Linked DNA regions of Drosophila melanogaster. Changing the gene in region 1 together with any one later gene gives a genetic interaction. Each region holds a gene or a part of one and is shown in the gene's direction. Other genes may lie near its edges.

Evidence for each region.
Region 2: of wts (region 1) and sd, changing one suppresses a phenotype caused by changing the other (phenotypic suppression), as found in Drosophila melanogaster (2 studies listed by BioGRID).

What each region holds. Positions count from the first base shown.
Region 1 is NT_033777.3:30,803,566-30,808,519, reverse strand, and holds the start of wts (warts), read left to right. Parts: upstream 1-1,900; 5' UTR 1,901-2,232; intron 2,233-4,954. Other genes in the region: dj-1beta, read right to left, coding at 630-786, 853-1,172, 1,236-1,322. UniProt on the Drosophila melanogaster protein: Negative regulator of Yorkie (Yki) in the Hippo/SWH (Sav/Wts/Hpo) signaling pathway that plays a pivotal role in organ size control and tumor suppression by restricting proliferation and promoting apoptosis.
Region 2 is NC_004354.4:15,813,306-15,818,325, forward strand, and holds the start of sd (scalloped), read left to right. Parts: upstream 1-1,993; 5' UTR 1,994-2,425; intron 2,426-4,845; exon of another isoform or gene 4,846-5,020. UniProt on the Drosophila melanogaster protein: Transcription factor which plays a key role in the Hippo/SWH (Sav/Wts/Hpo) signaling pathway, a signaling pathway that plays a pivotal role in organ size control and tumor suppression by restricting proliferation and promoting apoptosis.

The sequences.
Region 1 (4,954 bases):
TCGCGGCACGGGTTGTGGTGTGCAGGGACTCCAACCCAGTAGGGGTATTCCACCGTAGGCCATTACTTTCAGCTATTTTTAAAATTTTACAATTAAATGCAGCAGAATGTTTAATCAATGTAAATATTGAATATAACTAAATATATTAATAATGTACTATTTTGTAAATATATCGTCAGCAATACTTCCATTTGGCTTCACATCCCATTTTAATATATGCATTTTTAATTTCATTTATAGTCCAGTCATAACCAAATGAAATAATATAGATGTTTCTTTTTTCATGCCATATATGCATTTATATTTCATGACAAATTAAATTAAAGCCCATTGAACAATTTATTTTAACGCAGTTCAGTTGATTCATTATGATAGAATTATACTTCGCTCAAAACTAATTAAATGAAAACCGTTTGCTTCAAATAATGACATTTAAATTCACTTAAATAAATTTCTTTAATATATCTTTAACAACATGCCATTTCCTAGCTCTCCATTTAAACTTCTTTCAAATAGCAAATATAAAATTGAATCACAACTTCTGTCTTGAATAATTTTATTTTAATTCAGTTGTTGTTTGCATGAGTTGCTCTTGAAACAATCTGTTTTCATAAATAAGTGTAAATATGTTAGTTGTAGGCCACAAGAAGACCCTTGGCCACCTCCTGGACTTTCTCCTTGCCCGCCAGCTCCTCGGCGATTTTGAGGGCGAACTCGTAGGCGGTGCCAGGACCTCGACTGGTGATCAGATTGCCATCCTTGACCACCGTCTTGTCGTCCACATAGCTTAAAGAAATAATCAAAAGAAATGGGATGAAGATCATGGGAAAATAAACTTAAGAGGTGGTATACCTATAGTTATTCACCAGCTGGGGCTTCATTGAGGGATACGAGGTGAGGGATTTCCCGGAGGCGACGCCGTGCTTGGCCAAAACGGTGGGCGCGGCACAGATGGCGGCGATGAGTCCGCCACCAGACTCCTGGCTGCGCAGCAAGTCACCGACCAGCGAGGACTCCCCCATGGCATTGGAGCCACCCAGTCCGCCGGGCAGCACCACCACATCGAACTTATCCGAGGCAACCTGGGCCAGCGAGGTGTCCGGCAGGATCTGCACATCCCGCGAGCACTTCACCGCTTCCCCGCCATTCAAACCGGCTACGGTGACCTTGATCTATCATATAGTAAGTATAAGTATAGAACAGAGTGATTTAATGGAAAGGTTGAGAGCACTTACGCCCGCCCTTCTCAGAACGTCGGCGGCTATGATGAACTCCATCTCCTCCGCTCCGGGAGCCAAAATCACCAGCGCGCTTTTCGACATCTTGGTAAACTTAGAAAAGTGCCTTGAAATTTGAGGAAATCCAAAGAAAACCATGCAGATACGATAGCTTATCGATAGCGCTGTTCTGGAACGCAGCTTTGAGTTTTCCTTATCGAGGTTTCAAAAACTGAGCGGCAAACTAAAACACTTGTATAATTTGGTTTGACTTGCAGTTAGGCGACTAATTTGATGCATTTAAAACTTCTGTTTTTCACAGGAAGTTAATATTTTCATTCTTACTCAAAACAATGTTCTGCATTATATTTTAAAATATTAAGACTTTGAAATCAGTTGATTTTATTTATATGAGAAAAGGATTGCGTCTATGCTACGTGCTACACAGAAATGGTTTGAAACCTCATTAACAATTCTAACAAGTCTTGTTCTTTAAGTTAAAACCGATAACATTTACTTGCTCTCTATATTCTGTCGTATTACATAAATTTATATAAACTGATCACTGAAATATTTTTATATTTGTTTTCAGTATAATATCGATGTTTATATACCACGGTCAAATCCTATCGATACCTGATGTGGTTGCCAGACCAAGTACAGCTGCTCCTCCCTAGATCTCTGTCTATCGATATCGGTCTATCGATATGTGAACATATCTAGCACGACGGCAGCAACAAAACCACGAATTAATTTTACTAAATTTAAGCCAAACGCGCATCGGAAATGCCTGAAAAATGCGATTGAATGCACGCGAAAAGTGATGGGTTGCGAACGCGAGTGAATCAAGTGAAAATACGTCGGCAAATATCAGCGAATTGTCGTCAAAAGGCAAGGAAAAACGGAGAAAAAGAGGAAAAGCAATAAGTGCCGTGTGTGGGAAACGCGAAAAAGGCGAGAACAAAGAGGCGAAAAGCGAGGAAATTGCGTGGAAAACGTGGAAAACGCGAAGAAGGTAATTGCGGAAAATGCCTGGTGAAAATGCAACGTTTGCAGCTGGAATTTGCGTATCTTCCAGTCCAAAAAGAAAATGCAATATCTGTTGAATGTGTGCGAGTGTGTGTGTGTGTAAGCCAGTGCGTGTGTGGCTGCGCTGGTGTGCGCCCCATGTGTGTGTTGGTGTGCATTTCCAATTGCCTGTGTGGAAAAGCAAGGAAAACTGCACGGAAAACGCACGAAAAGCAATCAAAAATGTGCGGAAAAGTGCCTGAAAACGAAATGCGAAGCACACACACAAATGCAACAGGCTGTATTTACATATTTCGCTCTCGCTCTCTCGTGGAATAAATCAGTACGGCTGCGTGCGAGTGTGTGTGTGTGGGGGAGAACGGAGGAGACAAAGAGAGCGAGCGAGAGGTTGCTACACAAATCGGATTAAATTCTTCTGTCTTCCCTCTCTTTCTGGCGGAGGGTACTGGTGTCCATGGAAAACTATCAATCTCGTAGAATTTTTAACTTTATTCCAGTGTAATTTCGAATGCCAACGACATTAGGCAAGGTCAATGTATGCACGCACTTTTCTCGGTTTTCCCGTTTCCTCTTACCATTTTCCAACTGAAACAGCGCTTAATTGGCTGCGATATTCGTGTGTCGAAAGAATTACAAATTCGAGAAATCAACAAGACATTAAACAACGAAAACTGAGAGTAGTACAATTAGAGTAACAGCAATAACAATAATAATAGTGGTAATTGCGGGAATACAAGGAAAACATGGCGAAAACGGAGCAAGATTTGAATACAGTGAAGATCTACTAAAAGAAACTGCGAGGACTATTGTAGAATTGTGATATTTACTATAAAGGAAACTTTTGAATCATTGCAATTTGAAACTATGAAAATATTCCAGTTAGAAACAAATTTAATTTTCATATTTGATGGACTTAAGCAAAAAGAATGAGTCATACACAAATATCTAATAATCACAAAATGCTACTTTGATATGTAACAATAACCCCCACATATGGATATGAAATGGAAGAGCATATTCTTCATTAACCCACATAGGCAGAAGCCACTGTAGTCATAGCAGAGATCAACTTTGTGACAGTATGCGCGGTGTTGATGCAACCGTGGGCAGCAGCTGCCTCCGATTTGCATGTGACTAGAGTACACAATCAACGGAATGGGGAAAATCCGCGGGAGCAGAACAGTAAATGCACAGACGCAAGATGCAAATGCGAAATGTGGCACAAGTAACTGCGGCCCATTGTAATTTGTAATTAGAGGCAGCGCCGCCACTTCAATGTCAGTGCGACAATAATTTCTCAGGCGGCCCGTTTGTGCTCGCGAAAAAGCAAAAGCACGAAACACGAAGCACAAAGCAAGAAACGAAGGGGCGGGACATCGAGACCTCATCCTTTGTGGAGGCAGCCAGCCGAAAATTCATAAACTTAATTGCAATGAGATGCAGAATGTGTGTGACACAGCTATCTGTAGTTTGAATACTCTTTAGTAGCTAAAACTAGCAGCAACTTTATTGAATGGTTTTATACTTGCCATCAAAAGCAGACTTCAGTTCTACATACACTATTTTGTATAGAATGGAAGTAAACCATCGATTCTCTATCGGATTTCCAAATATTATGGTACACAGCTATGATATAAACAAGCCCACAAAACTTGCAACTGAAATCGAAGCTAAAGTCCAAAAAAACGACTCCGAAATGTGCAAAACTTTGTTGTTGCAGTCACTAGTGGGACGGACTACTACTATTACTACTACTACTACTGCTACTATTGTTGTTTTTGTGCTTGTTGGCGATGTTGCGATTGTTGTTTTTGCTTAAAACCAGCAAACAGCGGCGTCATCGTCAGCGACGCTGGAAAATCGCTGGGATTCCATTCACATTCCAGCATGCAATTCGCAGTGGATTATGTGAGTGTGTTGTTGTTTGTTGCTGCCTTTGTTGTAGCTGTTGTTGTAGTTGTGATAGTTGTTGTTGCTGCTGGAACAGGTGAGGCTCCATTGGCGTCGATCGTGTGCATTCCACAGAGCACACAGAGACACACACACACACGCGCGCGCATATAGCCAACGAGCAGAGAGCAGGGCAATAAATACCAATACAGTGGGCTGTTTTTGCTGTTGTTGCTCGCTTTTAAAAGTAAATGAACGATAAAACAAGAAAAGGAAGAGGAAGTTTGGCGCGGGGATTGTGACGACCATAGGGATACCCCGCAGAAAGTGTAGAACGCAATGGAGCATAGTGCTATATGGATTCCAGTGTAATCTTTAAACGATTAAACTCTTTTCAATGAAATGATTTTTGATACAAATAAAGTTAACGGATACTGAGCATCCTAGTTCCTAAGTCACATTGAAGAATTTTAGGCTATTTTCCCAAAGACCGTATATCCTAAGCTTGTGAGGGTGTTCGCTGATCTTGGGCTAATCCCAATGAAAATCCCCAACCCCCTGGAATTTTCCGCACCCCTTCTGCGCCCCTGTTTCGTTGCAATGCAAGTCGAGCGATGTTGACGACGAAAATGCAATTTAGCTCGTTTTTCTTGCTTGCTTCGATCCCCGCCCCCTTTTTGCCGACCACCTCCAGAGAGTGTGTGTGTGTGTTTGTGTGAGAGAGTGTATGAAAAAAGGGAAAACGAAACGAAAACAGAGAGATGGAGAGCGAGCGGGAGAAAGAGAGCAAGAGCAAAGGCGACCCAGCAGCAGCCGCC
Region 2 (5,020 bases), on another chromosome or scaffold:
TTCTTCTTTCTTCATCTTATTGCCGCAGCTGCGCCTTATTTCCACTGAAAGGCTTACTGACACATTCTCACTTTCACAAAGACCACGATATTGTACAAAGCTGCTCATACAAAATACACAGTTATATATATATGTACATATATCGGGAGAGCGATGAGAGCGGGAGAGCGAGAATAGAGTGAGATTGAGAAGATGCAGATGTGTGTGTGTGTGTTGCCTGTTTAACTTTAACGGAATCCGAAAAAGATCTTTCTCACTTCCTAAGAACTCCGAACCAATTCATGAATTATTGCAGATGTGAGTAAGTATTGCGAGTTTGCATGTGTGTGCACGCGTAGAATCGAAAAGTAAAGTAGTGCAAAAACAAGTATCGAATGAGCCACATAATCCAAAGCGAAAGGGTTTCATTTGTTCGGTTTTCGTTTGAAAGTCAGCACAAACCCCCCGCCCCCGTCAACGGACCCGTTCAAAGACGCTGCCATAACTTGTACACATGTATAATATAAATTAACAAACCGCTCCATCGTGTTATCAACGACATAGATAATAACACGCCCAGCGCAGAGCCTGAAAAACTGAAAAGCTGAAAAACAGTTACTGTTACAAGCTAATAATAATAACAAGAGTGAGTGCCTTGCCTTTGACCAGCCGGAGACGACAACAACGTTTGATGTTGTTGGTGGAGACGGTGACATCAGAGTCTAAATCTAGCGCGAACAGATTTCTTTTAATTCCGTAAACTAAGTGGACAACGCACCGTACTCGTACCGCACTCGTTCCGTACTCGTTCTCGTACTCGAAGTCGTATTCCTATTCCTCCGGGCGGGCATACTCGTGAATAGCGAAACCTAAAGGAAATCTACGAAAAAAAAGCTGGCTGCATGAAAAACATCACCAGCTCGAGCACTTGCAGCACTGGGCTGCTGCAATTGCAGAACAACCTGAGCTGCAGCGAGTTGGAAGTTGCCGAGAAGACAGAACAACAGGCAGGTCCGTTGCCCATCCGAATTACCCAGTCATACAAAGACACACCTCGTAAATCCAAACTCTATGCCATAAACCTACAACTCCACCCCCACCCCACACACCCACTCCACATCCAGCGCCCAAAAGTTTGTCGATCTCTGGTTTTTCTTTGGTGACTTTCCTCGTGGGTTCTCAATGCAAAGCACATGCACATGCATGGCGGGTTTTCATTTGAGAAAGTCACCCGAAAACGGAGACCTGAACTGCAGGGCACCTTCTCTCCATCGCTATAGAGTAAACTCTCCACCCATCTGCACATATCTCATACATATCGTACATGTAAACCATACATACATACATACATACATACATACATACCCAAATCTAAATCTAAGCGTTCTAAATCCGAAAAGAGAGGGCAAGCTGCCACCAACTTTCGATTGCCAAGATGAATAATTCAATGGATTAGTCAGGTTTAAGATAACACAGTGGTTCTTATAAGATGAATGGGGGGGGGGGGGGGGGTTAGCTCGAAAATATTTTGCCAACCGAGCGGATTTCGAAAAGAGCTTTTCTCGCATGTGTTGTTCATTTTGCACAGCATTGCATAATCTTATTTTTGGCCAGAAGCTTGTAAATGCAGTGTGGGAGACAATTCGCAGCACAAAAAAATCATATACATACGGATTTTGTCGATCTGGATTTTGGCGAAATATGTTGACATGTCCACGCGATCTGCTGTTTTACGATATATTTATTACCTCAGTTTAAGAGCCATCAACTTGTCTGCTGTTCACATATACATAGATACACATTATGAAAAGATATATGTACATATGGACATATACTTTTATTTTTATTACTTTACTGGCAATAGTGAGCAACGAAGACTAATCGAATAGCTGAATGTCCTATTGGAATCATTAAAAAAAAAAACCTGAAAAAGATTTGGTATACTTGTGGGCATTGTTTGCCACAACACTTGTTCGCAACTTGTCGGTTTTAAACAAAAACTTTCAAGCAAAACTACAATAATTCACTTACTATTTTTACTTCTGAATCGCATTCTACGAAATGAATTTTCTAAATGAGCTGTGTATATTTACAATAATATCGTAATACCTTTCTGCAAACAACGCAACTATTGATAAGTGATAAAAGAAAATGAAGTGAAAACAATGAAAAAGTCAACTTGGACAAGCCGAACACCATATACTCTACGAGTTACAACCAAAATGTATTACTCACGTTGGTATATGACCAGTTGCTATCACAGCTATGGGCTTCTGTAGCCTACGGAATGAGTATGTCATGAGTCATTGGCGAATATCTTTAAGAGCAACGAAAACATATCCGATTGTGATAAAGTTAATCGCAGTTACTTAAAAAAAAAAACAGCAAGCTCAGCCCATTTAGTTGACCGATCGTTCTTATGACTGCTGCGTTACTTACTCAATAAGTAAGTACTTACTCAATTTCCAGCATATCAATGAATGATAAATTTGAAGAACTTTTAGCAAATTATGAGTTCTTTACACAATTATGGTTTTCTGCCTTAAATTTCCTATGTTAAGTTAAACGTACGTAATTTTCCAACAATATTTGAACTATATAAACTTCAAAAGGCTTTCGGAAAATTTAAAGTTTAGTCACCTGTTTTAGCTTAAAATATCCTATATCCGATCAAAATCGTAAATATATCTAATGAACCATTCTAGTTTTCACTTCCTTCGCACATTTGTTGTCTATTTTCTAGCTGCCTGTTCTTAAACACTTGCTCTTAGAAAAGTATTTCGTAATTTCATTATTCCTTTATGTTCATTATTAACATTACCTCACATAATTTCATTAAAAGCTAAGAGGACAAAAGATTTATTATTAATTATTTTGTCGTTGCACCTCACAGAAATTCCTTTTTAACCTTTGCCAGGTTGCAAATTCGTTTGTGCTGACTTCTAAAGATTTTCGGCAGCAGAAAATGGGAGTGCGTTGCTTTAGGGGTTGAAATAATGAAAGGGCAGCGCACCGAACTCTATATGCCCTATGAATAATCAATGAATTAATACGTGTACAGTGTTTCGCTTAAGACAGTTTAAGTTCTATAGTGCAATTGTGAATAATTAAAATTTTTTACAGATCGTTATGCTGATTGAAAATATATTTGTACACTTTATAGGGTTAGAATCGCCACCTTAATTTCCTATAAAACTCTATTGACTTGGGAATAATTTGAAGACCTAAAAAATGATCTCTACATCATGTGTATTGATCTGTATTTTATGTAACCAAAAGATTATCCTTTTGATAGCACCTTCACACGAATATAGGATATATATGCTATACTAAACATATTGTCAATAATTTGATAATGCATTGCACTGTCCTTTTATATTATTTGTCACTAAAAAGATACGAACAATAATTTTTACCTGTTACGGTTTTCTGCTGAAAGTCAAAGTGCGTTTGGCTGTGTAGGGATTGCGGATCCCAACTTTGATCCTGAGTGCGCTAAGTACGTCATCATCGAGCTCCTTACCATCCCATCCAGGCACATTCTTCGTTTATATATGTATGTATGTATATGTATGTATAAGCGGATATATATATATGTATGTACATTATGTATGTGTATGCGACGGGGCATACATAAAGAAAATGAAAAAGCAGAATGCATACCATAAATTCCAATTGCCGCACAACAAAATTGCGGCTTCTAAGGGTAGGAATGGAAAAGGCAGGAAAAAGAACACACATTCCCTTATTAAAACCGAACAGAACTGAACAGAACGAGCAGCTGCGTGTTGAGTTTTCGAGGCGGAAATTGAGTTCAAGCGTAGGAAAGTCTGTTTCTAGTTTTTCTAATTGGAAATTATCCCGAACTGAACCGCTGCTGTTTGAATTCAGAAATTCTGAAATGCCATGTGATAATATTAATGCACGGTTCAGCTATTTTGTCCGTTTCATTACACTCCTTTTCGTCCTTTTGTGTGTGAGTGTGTGTGTGTGTGTGTGTGTGTTTGTGTGCGTGGAGTGCTTACGAGATTATGAAAAATGGCACATTCACCCCCTAAAACGATCCCAACCCCTGCACTGCGCCATGCATTTCCAAGCTGTGCAATATGCATTCTACTTTTTTGATAGCCAAACATACAGTCGTTTCCGTTTCGGGAAATTCTGGTATTGTGCCTAGGATAGAACTGGGATCGAACTGTCCCGACTTGTCCTGGATACTGGCGAACTGCTTCCATACGACGCCATTCTATTATTAACTACACCCATCTATACCATACTTTATTAAACTGAACTAAGTCCAGTTTCTTCTTAATATAGCAGATTAACTATGCAGTACTATACCATTATTTACTCTACTAACTACCATTGCAAGCTACATAGCTGACTACAAACTACTATTGCCTATTATACCATATATTCCATACCTTACACTATAACATTCTATTCCTTATCATATCATATATGGATACCATAGCATACCATGCCTCTGATCCTTGATAGTGTTGACTCGCCCCCTGTCTGAAGTTCCGTAGCACACCTTTACCTATGCTAGACTATAGACTATACCATACCATACCATGCCATACCATACTATACCATACCATACCATATCATACCCCTGCTGACCCAGACTCTCACTTGACGCCCCACACTGCAGGCTGGCTATTTGAAGGCTTCTACTTCCATTCTATTTTATTCTATCAATAGTACGCTGCGAGGGTATGTGCCACACTGCATTCTATCCGCTGTCTCACGAATACGAATGCCTAGAGCAACCATCCCTATAGGTTTATATGGGCGAAACACCAGGGGCAGAAAAGGAACCGGCCAAAACAAAGAATAGAAATATGTGGAAACTATACGGCACATTTCAGTTTGACGTGCGCGTTTCTCTTAACCAGACGCATTTTAGTTTTTGTTTCTTTGCCGCTGCCGTCCGGGATTGTTTTTTTTTTTTTTCACGCTGTGTGGAAGAAGCAAGGCGAATACAAAACAAAAATAAATTACAAAATAATTGAAATTATAATGATTCGATAGATAT